Linked DNA regions of Lytechinus pictus. The protein of the gene in region 1 purifies or fractionates together with the protein of each later gene. This does not show direct contact. Links are inferred from orthologs where the notes say so. Each region holds a gene or a part of one and is shown on either strand. Other genes may lie near its edges. The genes, in order: cryptochrome-1-like and F-box/LRR-repeat protein 15-like.

What was found.
Region 2: the proteins of cryptochrome-1-like (region 1) and F-box/LRR-repeat protein 15-like purify together in Drosophila melanogaster (affinity purification with western blotting; 5 studies listed by BioGRID). This does not show direct contact. The link is inferred for Lytechinus pictus from reciprocal best matches to the Drosophila melanogaster genes cry and jet.

What each region holds. Positions count from the first base shown.
Region 1 is NC_087263.1:14,451,879-14,460,057, forward strand, and holds the start of cryptochrome-1-like, read left to right. Parts: upstream 1-5,063; 5' UTR 5,064-5,091; coding exon 5,092-5,221; intron 5,222-7,480; coding exon 7,481-7,620; intron 7,621-8,142; coding exon 8,143-8,179. Other genes in the region: uncharacterized protein LOC135157674, read right to left, coding at 1-1,138. UniProt on the Drosophila melanogaster protein: Blue light-dependent regulator that is the input of the circadian feedback loop. Has no photolyase activity for cyclobutane pyrimidine dimers or 6-4 photoproducts.
Region 2 is NC_087262.1:19,957,167-19,965,103, forward strand, and holds the start of F-box/LRR-repeat protein 15-like, read right to left. Parts: upstream 3,456-7,937; 5' UTR 3,266-3,455; exon of another isoform or gene 3,158-3,265; intron 1-3,157.

The DNA.
Region 1 (8,179 bases):
TTGACTCTCTTGTATATACACGTGGTAACTTCACTATCTCTGTATCTTTGCCTGTGTCTACTATGAGGCTAACAACTGATGTATCTACTGTGCTGTTAGATCTTCCAAGTGTTGATAGATTTAGACTTTGCTTCCTTTCCACTGCATTAAGTTGTCTGGATAGGGCTGCTGTACAAAACGTGCTGGTAGAACCAGTGTCTAGGAGAGCATAAGTTTCAACAGACTTGCTCTCGTTGTGAGCCCTTACCCTAACTGGAACTATGGGAAGTACACACCTACCGGTCCCTGTGACCGATTTATCAATGAAGCTATTCTGAGCTGTTTGGATTTCATCAAGTGGCGTTTGAGTGGAAGAAGATCTCAAATGTTTATTTGGTTGAGGCTGATTCTCTATCTCTTGATGCGGAGTACCTCTTTCAGGTGACAAGCTTTCCCGAAATAAGTGGAGAAACTTTGTATGTTTTCTCTGACATCCTGGTACTGAGCATGTTCGGTTCAACTTACAAATTCTGCTGGTATGACCTTGTTGCAAGCAATTGAAACATAGTCTGTTCTCTTGTGCAAATTTAAATCTCTCATCAGGTGTCAGAGACTTAAAGCTGTCACAACCAAACAAGGTATGGTCTTGGTAACACTTGAAGCACTTCTTGGGCTTAGGAAAGCTTGAATTATCAGTGACTGCTGTAGAGTAGCTGCTCTTTGAATTATGCTTGTTGAAGCTTGGTTTAGATGCTGATCTTGGAGAAGTCGCAGTCAGCTCACCGAAGACTGGATCGTTAACTTCTTCGGCGGCATCAGATACAAACTTCACCATGTCAGTGATATCTGGAGATCGGCCTCTTTGTCTAATGTCTCTCACTACTTTCAACCATCTAGCTTTGAGATGAAATGGGAGTCTTTCTACCAGTTTGACCAGTTCTCTGTTACTGCTGATTTCCTTTGTTAGATTCAATGCCTTAAGAGTCTCAAGACATACCTGCAATTCATCAGCGAACTTGCGTAGTCCAGTTCTGTCATTTGCATGAAGTGTTGAACCATTAGTTATCTGTTCGATCCATGCTTCTCCTATCTTAAATCTACTGCCAAAGCGTACTCTCAGTAATTCTCTGGCGCGTTGATATCCTAGCACTGGATCCATTACCATACAACACTGTATGATGTTCTTGACATCCCCTTCACAGCACTGATACAACTTCATGAGCTTTGTCCCCCTGTCTAGTGTAGACGAGCCTATCAAATTATCAAAACATGCTATGAACTCATGATAGTGCAAAGGATTACCGTTAAACTTCATGATCTCCACATTTGACAGGCTTATTGCTTCCAACAACGATGCTGTGTTTGCTGATACTGATACAAATCTTGGTTGTGCTGCGGGTATGGCATGGTGTCTTCCAAATTCTCGTGCGGTACATTGTTATCACGCTCGCTGGCCTGAATCTGTGGCTGAACAGGCTGCTGCTGTTGACCAAGTTCTTCACTTGTGGGTTCAATCTTAACGTCGAGTTGACTGGGATGCTGATCAAATTGTTCATATACAGCCTCTTCTGCTGCTGCAACTTTGAGCTTAGTTTCTAACATAAACTGTGCCTTCTTTTGCTGTAGATGAAATTCTTGAAGCTCTAACTCATGCTGTTCCTTCAAGGATGCTAGCTCTGCTGCCAGGGCTGCCTTCTTGGCCTTCGTCTTTATCCTCGATGACGCTGTTGAACTCTTACCACCTTGGCTGGCCGAGTCCTCCGACTTGATACTTTCAGATGATCCACTCATGGCGACTGTTCTTGACGGTGACGGTGACGACTGTTCTTACGGTGACGATTGTTATTGAACTTTATGTGACGTATAACTACTAGTGACTTGACAGTAGACAGTACTCAAACAAAAGACTCGGTGACGCGGAATTTCCAGTTATCATACGATGCATCAAGTATACAATCTGGGCATACCATCTAGCATACCATCGAGCATACCATCGAGCATGTTCAATCTGTAGCATAAAAATATAAACAAACAATAATAAGCATCTGTATATGCAGTTACATTTATGTACTTGCATGAGATAAAATAAATAGTCTATGTATTGCACAAATTATTTGTGACGTTTGAATCTTGCATAAATAATATTCTGGTTTCCTGTAACATACCTATCAAATTCTGTCAATGTATTCCAAATGACCTTGAATAAACTTTGCAATATGCGGTTAAATAAACAAAACCTTGACTTCGTTTCATTTGTCCTTTATATCCACTACGATACTTAAATATTACCTTGCCTCTAAACTATATACTCTGAGGCATTATTGACTAGCAATAACTTTACTCAAACCAATAACTAGGCTTTCATTTCACCTTCACTGTATGTGTTATTTGTAATTATCAGGGCTTTAAAATGCACCAAAAAACTGGCTTTAATGCCTTATTTCCAAACTCATACATATACTGTATCCTTTTCAACAACTAGAACCAATGTAGCTAACAAAGAACAACATTTGTTTATTTGACATTCCATTTCGTTTACAACTCTGAACATGAATAGCCTACTATGCACTGTGTGCGAGATTACCACACAGTACCGTACCGATATGCTATTACGCAACACTCTTCATGTGCATGTCCAAGTACCTATCAATGTACAATGTCAATATACGTTTATCACACGTGTATTCTATACGTAAACTCCAAACACTTTCACCAAAGTTATGAGCTAAATTAACAACAAATTAATTATCGTCTCGAGTTAATTTTGGCTCCATATATTCAGTTAAACATTACATTACGGAAATATAAAGGTCCTTTTACTTACAACATTGGACTTGTACCGATTATCTTGAATTCTAACTGTAAAGTCACGACGGGCTGAACTTTAAATCTTTGTCGATCTTGGCAAGGCCAATTTCCAACGCCCTCTATCGACCCAGATAAATGATGCTACAACTCAATAACGTCTCTGACGTCATGTTAAATATTTCAAAGAAAAAATACACTTTCTAAATCTTACAGTAACCATGTATCCCTGAATATCATGTGCGAGTTTCAGGTCACATGACTAAGGTCAAAGGTCACTTAGGGTCAACGAAGTTTGGCCATGTTGGGGTTATTTGAGGAATTGTCATTATAACTTTAAAAGTCTATGGATCTAGTTCATGAAACTTGGACATAAGAGCAGCAGTGTATCCCTGAATACCCTGTATGCATTTCAGGAACATGGCCAAGATCAAAGGTCATTTAAAGGTCAATGAACTCTGGCCATGTTGGGAGTACATGTATGTGTTGAATTGGCATCATTAAGTTCCAAAGGAAGTTTATGGATCTAGCTCATGAAACATCGACATAAGGATAATCAAGTATGAATAATTGTTTTGCACATGTCTTTAGCTCACATGATCATGGTCAAAGGTCATTTTGGGTCAATGGGCATAATATTGTATTATCATAGTGTTTTCTTCTGTGAATAATATTCATTAGCTATTTTCAAAGGAAGCACTGCTGCTATATCGCATTGCGTAATGCAGGCGAGACTGCCAGAGGCATTCCACTTGTTACAGATTTGACAATTAGGTCCAACTTGACTGAACCATAAAATGTTAAACAACATTGGTGATTCCACATGTTCAGGGAGAAATAAAACTTTATTTCACAGGAAAATGAGTTGAAAATTAGAATATTTCAAAAAATGCAAAAGAAATAGTGAGTGAGTGATGTCATCAGGTCCCTCATTTGCTTACCAACCGGGATGTGCATATATAACTATTTTGTGAAATTAAGCGAAACTTTAAAATGTTATAACTTTCTTATTTTACATCCAATTTTGATGAAATTTTCAGTGTTATGCTTGTTGGATTTTTCTGTTTTAATCAAATCAACTTTTTGTTGCAGGGTGGACTTGTCCTTTAAATTGTGTTCGTACATTGAAAGTAATGGATCTAAAAGAAACTTTGACTTGAGGGTAATCAGGGGAGCGTTGCCGTTTCATGAAATGACTTGTCAGACATTTTTTCTGACAAGTCCCATTTTATCCAACAGTTACCATAGTAACAGCGCTTCTCAGCCAATCAAAATCAAGGGAAGTTGTCATATCTGACAACTTGTCCGACAAAAATGTTGATGAATGAAACACTTCCCAGCTATCACTTATCATTTTGTGCGAGTTTCAGGTAACATGATCATGGTCAAAGGTCATTTCAGGTCAATGAAGTTAGTATTTTATTATCATATAAATGGTGTTTTTTAGTGAATAATTTACTCATCTTTAAGTTGTTTTCAAAGTCAGCAGGTACATGTATCAATTGCCTATAAAAACAAATGAGACTGCCAGAGGCATTTCACTAATATTTTTTATTAATGTTATTGTTTATATTCCCATTCGTGTTACTTTAGTAAATGTTTTACATTATTATTTTTTTAACATTATTATTTTTATTTTCATCCATATTTTAATCACCATCATCATCATTTTCAAATCAAGGTGTCAATTAGGGTCTATGCCTGTAGACTACATGTATGGCAAGTTTCCCCAAGTCTGCGCAGTCCCCCTTGTCTGCGCACACGCGTATCTGCGCGATTCTAGTAAAAGAAGATACGCAACGAGCACGAACTCTACACATGCAATACATAGACAGGTATTCATTAAAAAATCGAACTCAAAATGATGAAAAAATAATTAATTTAGGGCATTTCATGTGACGGCCTCAAAATGCAGCCTTTCTCATAAAAATCCCCGAATCGTGTGCAAAGTGAATGAGTGCGCAGACATGGGGTACCATTTTTTTTTTCAATCTGAAAATGACAGCCCGAGGTTTTTTCAAGAAAATCCTATATTTTCTTTCATGTTTTTAATGAGAAATTTGGTACACTTACTAATAATAATATAAGGAACATTATTAACTGAAAGATTTTGTGAAATAAGAAGAAATCCATGTTAAATCTTAACTTAAATTGTTAGGTGCGCAGACTTGGGGCCCACCATCATACATGTATGCCTCAGTTGATGCCAAGACGTGTGTGCCACCATTCTCTCTATATTCATGATTATTCGTCTGTTTCTCTCTGTTTCTCTCCGATCAGATTTAACTAATCCTTGTGATCGTCAAGATGCCTGGAGGAGCATGCATCCACTGGTACCGCCATGGATTACGTCTCCATGACAACCCGGCTCTGCTAGAGGGCATGACCCTGGGGACGGAGTTCTATCCCATCTTTATTTTCGATAACGAAGTGGCAGGTATGTCAATGCATTGTACGAGGGACAATGCAAACGTGTTTATTTCTACTTGAACGCATGTACACTTCTACATGTATTATTCAAGGTCTATTACGGTAACAATACAATGTACATGTAAACCATTTCTCAGATTTTTTTTTCAGATTTGATTGTGTACATGTATAATAAAACTATTTTGTGAATTTTTTTTTTTTGCATTGCAAGAATTGTATGCATTCTGTGCTGATTCTGTTATTTGTACTTGTATGTATTTCCCTGCATAGATTTCAGGCAATATTTCTGTAATTATTCTTGAGAACCCAGACATTTTCTTAGAACTTTTTCTTTTCTTTGCTTTGGCATCCTTCATGTATTGCATCACAGAAGTACAGGTACATGTAGACTATTCAACCAACAGTAAACTACCAGTATATTTTCATTCTGGTTGCTCATCTGTACAGCAATATAATTATACATAAAAACATGAATGACATTTAAATACATTTATATCTGTTGAGTGCTGAAAAACAAACTAAATTCAGCATGTATACCACCTTGATCAAGATTTAAAAAAATGTTCTATAGAGGTGTTCTAAAGTTTTGAATGACTTTGTGATTGACAGAAACACATTCTTTGATGTTGGTATTGTTTTTAAGATTGAAATTATTGTTTTCGAAAAGTATATACCAAGCAATTTTTACCAATCTCTCATAAAGTAGCAATGTCATTAATATAAGGGTGCAATTTTTGCGCTTATATTATTATGAAATGCTAATTATGATTGAACTACCAGCTGAATAATAGTTAAATTGAATATTTTACAAAATCAGTGGCCAGTATTCTGAAATCTGATTTAACTTTCTAGGCCAACTGGTCCAACTCTGTGCTAAAATTATAGGAAGCTGAAAATGTAAAGATTTTGTTTACTTTGCATACGTTTCTTGTGTTCACTCTGATCTTCCACCATAATAATAATAATGATAATAATATTAATAATAATAATAATAATAATAATAATAATAATAATAATAATAATAATAATGATAATGATAATGATAATGATAATGATAATGATAATGATAATGATAATAATAATGATAATAATTATGATAATGATAATGATAATGTCAATGATAATAATAATGATAATAATAATAACAATAGTAATAATAATATGAACAGTTTGTAGTGCACAGTTACTATTTCTACTGCACTTGACACTTGGTATCATGTTACTACCCCGGCTGTAGCCGAGTCGCCATGTAGGCGCTCAAGCATTCCAAGAATTTCTTCCTACCAGGTACCCATTCACCTGGGTTGTTTTGTGTTTACCGGTAAATGTCTTGCTGAAGAAAAACTGCCGTGGCTGGGAATCGAACCCACATCCCTCAGATTGAAAGACGAGTCGTAACCAATAGACCACGATGCCCCCGCTCTTCCATCATGCTTTAATGGCAAAGAAAACTAATTCAGTTCCCAGAAAGTTATACTGTATGAATGATCTGAACGACAGATGAGCTGATACATGTAAAATCAAACCTGTTAATCCAACTTGCACTGTTAGAGATTTGTGTCAAAATTGGCTATGCATCTAGTTAAACCACAACTTGTAAAGGAAACCAAGACCTAAGAAGAGAAGCATTCTTGTTGGAAAGAGTAAAATGAGAGGAACAATTGAAAACAAGTTTCATCAACATTGGTTGTGAAATAGGCGAGTTATGGACGTTCAAAAAGTCTTGTTGTACTTTCTATGGGGATCCTCAAATGGGCAAACACGCTTCAAAATGGCTGATTTTGTGAACAATTCTCCATTTGTTTTGTACACAATTTTTCAGATTTTCCCCATTATCTTTCAAATTGCATATTGCCTTATTCTGAGCATGACATATGCCATGGGAAAATATAATTCACACCACATACATGTATGTCAAAGTCAGGAAGAGATGATGTGAAATATGTAAAATAAAGGGGAAAATCTGAAAGTTTGTGTGCAAAACAAATGGATGGTTGTCCACAAAATTAGCCATTTTGAAGCATGTTTGTCAATTTGAGGAGCCCTATAGAAAGTACAGCAAGACTTTTTAAATGTCCATAACCAATTTTGATGAAACCTGATTTAAATTGTTGTTCTTGTGTTCCTCTTTCCAATTAAATTGCTTCTCTTCTTGGCTTTTGGTTTCCTTTTTTAATAATCCAGAGCATGAATTACATAAACCTGAATCAAGAATACAGGCTAATACTCACTAACTCAATGACATCCATCTTTTTCTGACATGTAGGTACAAGCACATCTGGGTTCAACCGATGGCGTTTTCTTCACGATTGCCTGGCGGATATTGATGAGCAGTTGAAGGCAGGCGGAGGGCGACTGTTTGTGTTTCAAGGAGACCCTTGTCTCATCTTCAGAGAAATGTTCCTCGTGAGTTTTAATTTTTACTTTGTGGTTTATTTTTAGTATGTCACAAAATGTAGTAAGCAAATACATGCAAATTTTGGCATTTGTGAAGGTGGTGGGAAAATTGTCACTTTCCAGGCAAGCTGGATGTACATGTAGCTATTTAAAAATAAAGTTCCTTGCAATGCTGAGGAAAGAAAGCGAGTACATCCAACTTGCCAAGGAAGTAATAGTTTGCCTCTTCACCTGAGAGTATTAAAGAGGTGATTGCTTTTTGCCACATCTGGAATTACTAAAAGAACAAACCAGTATTGATATTTTCTCTACAAGAAGGAGTTTTTATTATAAACAAAATTAAAGTTTTCATTAAAAAAAAATTGATTCTATGCTTTTTTTAACGGCTAGCGCATGTAATTGGCTTGCAAGAATCAAGATCTTGCTTGAGCAAGAAAATCGATTTGGATACAACCCAAATGCAACTTGAATCCAACCTAGCACTGTGAACCTATTTAACCATCAATACATTTTTTTATTTTTATTTTAAAGGAATGGGGTGTCCGCTATTTAACCTTTGAGAGTGACC
Region 2 (7,937 bases), on another chromosome or scaffold:
ACTTTTATAGGCTGATCAATCGAGCTGATTTCTCTTAGAAAGTTGTACAAGCAAATATTACCACTATTCTTATTGAAGCGATGTTTCTTATGAGGTAGGCCTATATACTGAATTTAGTGAATTATGACCTGAAATAAATTCAGACATTCCTACATTGTTTACACTTAATTTTCATCTCATATTAAATTTATGAGTTGAACTAGTAGAGTAATCAGGCGTTACCATGGCAACATACCATTACCATGCATTCAAATGAACTTATCCATGCAGAACACTCTGTTGTTGTTTAATTTAAATATATAAATTAAATGAGTTGCTCGAACCTATGTAGATTGTTTTGCATTTTCATTGTCATTTTCCACCTTTAATTTTTTCCCACCATAATGTTGATTTATGATGGCAATTCAATAAATGCCCCCAACGTACATGGCCAAAGTTCATTGACCTTAAATTACCTTTGACCGTGGCATGACCTGAAACTCACTATAGGATTTTCACTGACTCCCTTATTTCTAAGTTTCATGATAGCTATAGAAACCTATAGGCCTATTTCAAACTTATGATTACATTTCACAAACTTATCCTGTTTTAAGATTTCAATGTTTACGACGCCGTCGGAAAAAGCGGCGCCCTGTCTCTACAGGCAATCAATTGTATTTTTCTGCGGGAAAGATAAGCCGTTACCATGGCAATGGATCTTTTGCAAATACTTTGATGACTTGATATATCTATATCTAGAAATTGAATTTGGAAGGCTTAAGAATGATAGATAGGACCATTTAAATTGACATTAAATATGCCATATAGGCCTATAGGCTCAATATGTTATTTTTTTAAAACATATTAATCAGTTGCCATGGCAACGGTGGAAGGAGGCATTTATGAATTTGGCAACAAGCGGATTCATGTTCAGCACCATAAAAATATAGGAAATGACACAAAAAATCAGATTCTAAAGAAAAGTCTACTTGAAAAATTCTGACAATTCTGTTTAGACCCTATACACTTACAATGATATCATTATCATACTACAGTCAGGGTGAGCGAAGTTAGGGCAGGCTGCTATCTCAAGGTATGCCCTCGCTAATTCATTCACACAACAAATATTCATTCTAGAAAAAAATGTCATGACGACATATCAGGACCTCCCGCACCTTCGACTCTCACATTTTCATTCATCATATAAGAATATAAAATTTTTCACTGTTTTTAGGAGTTTTTAAAGTGATTGAAAAAAACCTTAATTTGGTGCAGTTGCGGTACAGTTGATCGAAGTTCAAACAGTTATCGGGTTACTTTACATTTAACGCAGTATTTCAAGATTTATTAAGGGATTGATTTTATTTTTCCACACTTCGGTTTTTCATGTAATGGTCTCCTCTTGGGTGCTTAATTATGCGAGTATACTAAATAAGGAATTTGGGACGAATTTAAAATGATAATCATAATAAGCAGCGTGCGCATCGCGCTTGTGAGGGTGAGCGAGAATTGGGCAGCATACGGTACCCCATGTCTGCGCACCCATTCACTTTGCACACGATTCAGGGATTTTGATGAGAAAGGCTGCATTTTTAGGCCATCACATGGAATGTCTAAATTTAATTATTTTTCCACCATTTTGAGTCGGATTTTTCAATGAATATCTGTATATGTGTTGCATGTGTAAAGTTTGTGTTTGTTGCGTATCTTCTTTAATTAGATTTAGAATCGTGCAGATACGCGTTTGCGCAGACAAGGCCAAGGGTAGGGACCTCGTTTATTAGTGTGAGTGGGACTGCGCAGACTTTGACCTTGGTCTTGGGGCACCCATGGGTTCATACCGTCTCGCGTGCGAAGGAATATCAGTCATATGCACGCGACACACACAACACATCCAAAATATACTGGGCTTTTGCCCACATAAAATATCACGCATAATCTGGTATTTCACATTCTGCTATGACACTTACCAAATCATTTAGATCCTTCCGTGACTTCTCCTTGAAGTTTCTTTAAAAAATATGTATATTTTCTTGATCTTTAGTAAAGATTTCACTGAGATAAAAATTGGTCAGCGTGGATATCAATTTTCGCCTAAAGAGGGCGCGCGATTTATATTCATATCAAAGACACGACAAGGGAAAGACTAGGCACCTACACTATTTTACACGCAAATCGACGCAAGGCATTACGCGAAGTCCGTGAAGTGTCCGATCTTTTCAATGTATAGACTTTAGTTTGGTATACCGTATTATTGACGTTCGTTAAAGCTTGTACTGCTGGTTTCGTTCCAGGCATGTGCTGATGTGTATTTTTTTCAATTTCTTTTTATTAGTCATCGTTTTAAATTAATTGCAAAAAAGTGTTATCATCGCCAATAGTAATCTTGAATTATGTTTTTGAAGGTATTTCATTTATTGGTGTCCATAATTAGTAAATTAATCATAAGAATTGCGCATTCAAAGAATTTAGACACAGTTATAAAATTACCGAGGAGCTGAATCAAGGTTGTGAAATTTATTAGCGCCACCAACGGGCTTCCTTGTATTTCCGTAGAAAAGACAAACGAAGTCACTTGCTAGGCCGAGGTAAGGGAAATTTGCTCTTTTTGTAATGAAATTATTTACAAATCATATGTATAATTTTCTAAGGTATTGGCAATTGCTACTTACCGGAAAGAGCCCCGGTGCGTAGCGAGAAGGAGTTTCGGCAAATATTACTTCAGCAATGAAGCGATGTTTGCCGACTACTTCAAAATCCAGGGTCAAACACGGTCCCTTGTACGACTACGAGTACGAGGTTAGTATATATAGTAGTACCTCGTATCGCCTAGTAGTATTACTACTTAGTCTGACCATATTGGTAGGTCCATGGTCTGACTTAGTGTGAGTGGTCTTCAAGTTGGGCCTGGCCTTGGGGGGACTTGCCATATAACAAAATTGTGGAATAAAATAATTAAAAAGATACCAGTATATAAGGTGAAAAAGAAAAAGTAAAAAAGAAATGTAAGAAGTTAAACTCATTCTGCAAAATGCAGCAACAATTTTATGATATTCGAATTCGATCTTGATATTAAGTCAATTGACCGACTACACATGCGATTTTTAAGCACGCGTGTAGCACTTATTCATCACATTTCTGTGATATCATCACTCGAATAGCACAGGGGCTAAATCACCTTACAGTTACCGGTACATAACCATGATGAGATGTCACGACCTAGCCCTAGGTGATCTTGGATGATAGGATAGCCAGGGAGCCAGGGCCAATTTATGCGGCTTTTTACCTGCTCTCTAGATCTCGAAACCCTGTAGATAGTCTACTGTCAGATGTTACAATCTTCAGGTTAGCAATCCACTTCAGTCAATATTCAGAGATTTATCTACAAAAGTACAAGTCTTCAGTGACACTGACAAGAATATCCCTTGATATTTATTAATTTGGGCGATTGCACTTTTGAAAGGGGATGATGAAAATGAATAAACTTTGATATCAGAATTTGTATTTTTTTACTACCTTATTGCAATATATCTGATATTTAAATATTAATTGAATAACTTAAGATTTTATTTAAATATATGTTTACAAATATATGATTATTCATTGTGATAATCTTAATTCTGTTTTCTATTTTGATAGGAGTTAAATACCGGTAGGCCCTACTGAAAAGTCCATTCATCCCACAACTAGTAGAGCACCCATTTGTGTGGGGTTGTGTGCTGCAGATACTGATATTTTACAGCCTTTACATGCTTTAGGAGAAAAGACCTCCTTATTTGTGACGTTATCTTGTGCTATTCATATTGTAAAATTGGTAAGCATTCGATTTATTTGTAATACTAATTTATCGGCACTGGACATTTCTAGTTATTGACAAGACAAGTCTGTTCAATCTCAGATCTGTTCAAATCAGTCCCATACATTGGCATTGCTGTACCGGTAATTACTCAACTGTTTATTAATTTAAAGTTAGTGTAATTCGCGTGGCGCGTGGGTGTGTGAATGATTGTATTTTGGGGGTATATCCATGGCACAAGTCTTGCCGGTACACATGCCTACAATTATTCTTTAATTGTGAGTAAGCTTTTTACATTTTTCATAAGATTTTTTTTAGATGAGATGATGAGAAGATTAACTTCTTTGTCCTTTGACAAAGTCTTGATTTCTGACTTTTTTATTCTAAGTAAAGAAATATCATGCCCACCCCCAAAAAAGAAGAAGATATAAACAAGAAAGGAAAAGAATAGGAGAGCAGAGCAGAAAATAATCTAGACAGCTGGCAGCCGTCTGTTTCGTGGAGTTTTTAAACATTTTTTAAAATTTCTCCTCGTGCACAGACGGCTCGCGAACGTGCAGCCGCCATTAGGGGGTTAAAGCTCAAGTCCACCTCAGAAAAATGTTGATTTGAATCAAAAGAGAAAAATCAGACAAGCATATTGCTGACAATTTCATCATGTAAACTAAGAAAATTATGACATTTTAAAGTTTTGCTTATTTTTCACAAAATATTTTATATGCACAATTTAGTCACATGCAAATGAGAGAATCGATGATGTCCACCACTCACTATTTCTTTTGTTTTTTGTTGTTTGAATGATACAATAATTCAATTTTGACAATAAAGACCTATTTGACTGAAACATAAAATGTTAAACAATTGTAATTCCACATGTTCAGGGCAAAATTTTTCTTACGCGTGTCGGAAACCCGCCGAATCGGCGGTGGCCAAATTTGCACGTGATGTTTTGATTTTCACATGCGCTGCGCTTTGATCCGATCCAAAGTCAAGTTTCATTGCCGAACCGCGAAGTTCAATAGATGATGTAATGCTGTTTTAATCGGCGGCGGACACCAACCTAAAACTGATATCGGCGAAAATATTGGAATGTTAAGTTGTTATTTATCTCAGAATTTAGGGGTCTATTTTTTTTTCTGGATATGTTTTAAACTGTTTTGAGGTGTTAATGAGTTAAAATATATTTCATATGCCTTTCGTTATGGACTCCCGTTCTCCGAGAAGAAATATATATCAGGCATTATTCGTAAATTTCTTACAACGGCGGAAAAGAAAATAAAACAAAATAGAAGTCACAAACATCTCAGATTAATGAGCGATCGATTTGGGAATGTTTTAAAATTATTTTTGAGGTCCTAACGAAATGAAATATATTTATATACCTTTCGCTATGACCTCTCTAAGAAATATTAATGATGCACTATTTTGACAACGGCGGGAAGGATTATCAAACAGAATAGAAGTCACAAACATCTCAGATTAATGAACGATATATCAGGACATTTTAACATTGTTTTGAGGTGTTAATGAGTTCAAATATTTTTAATATACCTTTCGTTACGGACTCCCGCTCTCCGAGAAGAAATATAAATCACGCATTATTCTTAAATTTCTTATACAACGGCGGAAAAGAAAATAAAACAAAATAGAAGTCATAAACATCTCAGATTAATGACCGATCGACTTGGCAATGTTTTTTAATTGTTTTTGAGGTCCTAACGAGTTGAAATAAATTTATATACCTTTCGCTATGACCTCTCTACGAAATGCACTATTCTGACAACGGTGGAAAGGATTATAAAACAGAATAGAAGTCAGATTAATGAACGATATATCAGGACATTTTAACATTGTTTTGAAGTGTTAATGAGTTCAAATATTTTTTAATATACCTTTCGTTACGGACTCCTTTTCTCCGAGAAGAAATATAAATCACGCATTATTCTTAAATTTCTTACAACGGCGGAAAAGAAAATAAGACAAAATAGAAATCATAAACATCTCAGATTAATGACCGATCGATTTGGGAATGTTTTTTAATTGTTTTTGAGGTCCTAACGAAATGAAATATATTTATATACCTTTCGCTATGACCTCTCTAAGAAATATTAATGATGCACTATTTTGACAACGGCGGGAAGGATTATCAAACAGAATAGAAGTCACAAACATCTCAGATTAATGAACGATATATCAGGACATTTTAACATTGTTTTGAGGTGTTAATGAGTTCAAATATTTTTAATATACCTTTCGTTACGGACTCCCGCTCTCCGAGAAGAAATATAAATCACGCATTATTCTTAAATTTCTTATACAACGGCGGAAAAGAAAATAAAACAAAATAGAAGTCATAAACATCTCAGATTAATGACCGATCGACTTGGCAATGTTTTTTAATTGTTTTTGAGGTCCTAACGAGTTGAAATAAATTTATATACCTTTCGCTATGACCTCTCTACGAAATGCACTATTCTGACAACGGTGGAAAGGATTATAAAACAGAATAGAAGTCAGATTAATGAACGATATATCAGGACATTTTAACATTGTTTTGAAGTGTTAATGAGTTCAAATATTTTTAATATACCTTTCGTTACGGACTCCCGCTCTCCGAGAAGAAATATAAATCACGCATTATTCTTAAATTTCTTACAACGGTGGAAAAGAAAATAAAACAAAATAGAAGTCATAAACATCTCAGATTAATGACCGATCGATTTGGGAATGTTTTTTAATTGTTTTTGAGGTCCTAACGAAATGAAATATATTTATATACCTTTCGCTATGACCTCTCTAAGAAATGCACTATTCTGACAACGGTGGAAAGGATTATAAAACAGAATAGAAGTCAGATTAATGAACGATATATCAGGACATTTTAAAATTGTTTTGAAGTGTTAATGAGTTCAAATATTTTTTAATATACCTTTCGTTACGGACTCCTTTTCTCCGAGAAGAAATATAAATCACGCATTATTCTTAAATTTCTTACAACGGCGGAAAAGAAAATAAGACAAAATAGAAATCATAAACATCTCAGATTAATGACCGATCGATTTGGGAATGTTTTTTAATTGTTTTTGAGGTCCTAACGAAATGAAATATATTTATATACCTTTCGCTATGACCTCTCTAAGAAATATTAACGATGCACTATTTTGACAACGGCGGGAAGGATTATAAAACAGAATAGAAGTCACAAACATCTCAGATTAATGAACGATATATCAGGACATTTTAACATTGTTTTGAAGTGTTAATGAGTTCAAATATTTTTTAATATACCTTTCGTTACGGACTCCTGCTCTCCGAGAAGAAATATAAATCACGCATTATTCTTAAATTTCTTACAACGGCGGAAAAGAAAATAAGACAAAATAGAAGTCACAAACATCTCAGATTAATGAATGATCGACCTGGGAATGTTTTAAAATTGTTTTTGAGGTCCTAACGAGTTGAAATAAATTTATATACCTTTCGCTATATATGAACTCTCTAAGAAATATAAATGACACATTTATTCTGACAACAGCGGAAATGTAAATAAAATAGAACAGAATTCACAAACATATCACTAAACAGATCACTTGGATTGTGAAGCGTCTCGGCTTGATAGGGAGGTATAAACCGGGATATAAATGATAGTCTTTAATAAAATTGTTGATGATTCATAATATATTTGTAAAGAGTTTTGATGTGATAACGACATGATTTATGATATAAAATAATTCTTCGAAAACCAAAATGAAGCTCACAGCCAAAGCAAGTGATACCTCCTTCGACATTTATAAGGTACATTACGTAATACCTTGGATGACCAAGCTGGGCCAAGTCTGTCATCAAGACACTCGACAACATATTGAGATAATCTGTCGAGATTTGCTGAACCATTAAATCAGGTAAACATGAGATAAAAATCGTTTCTCTTGGGACTCATTTGGGCAGCCACTGAGGTGATTTTAAAACATGAGCCACGCGAGCAATTGCCTTGGGTGGTGATGGACATTTCATTGATTTCTTTTTTAATCAGCGACTTTACAAATAAAAAATAATAATACATATTCTAATAACTTTTTAAATCTTTGATGGATTTTCCTCAAACTTTCACCAATATTTATCTTTTTTTTTCTCCTATCTGTACAATAAACTTTTTGTCAGG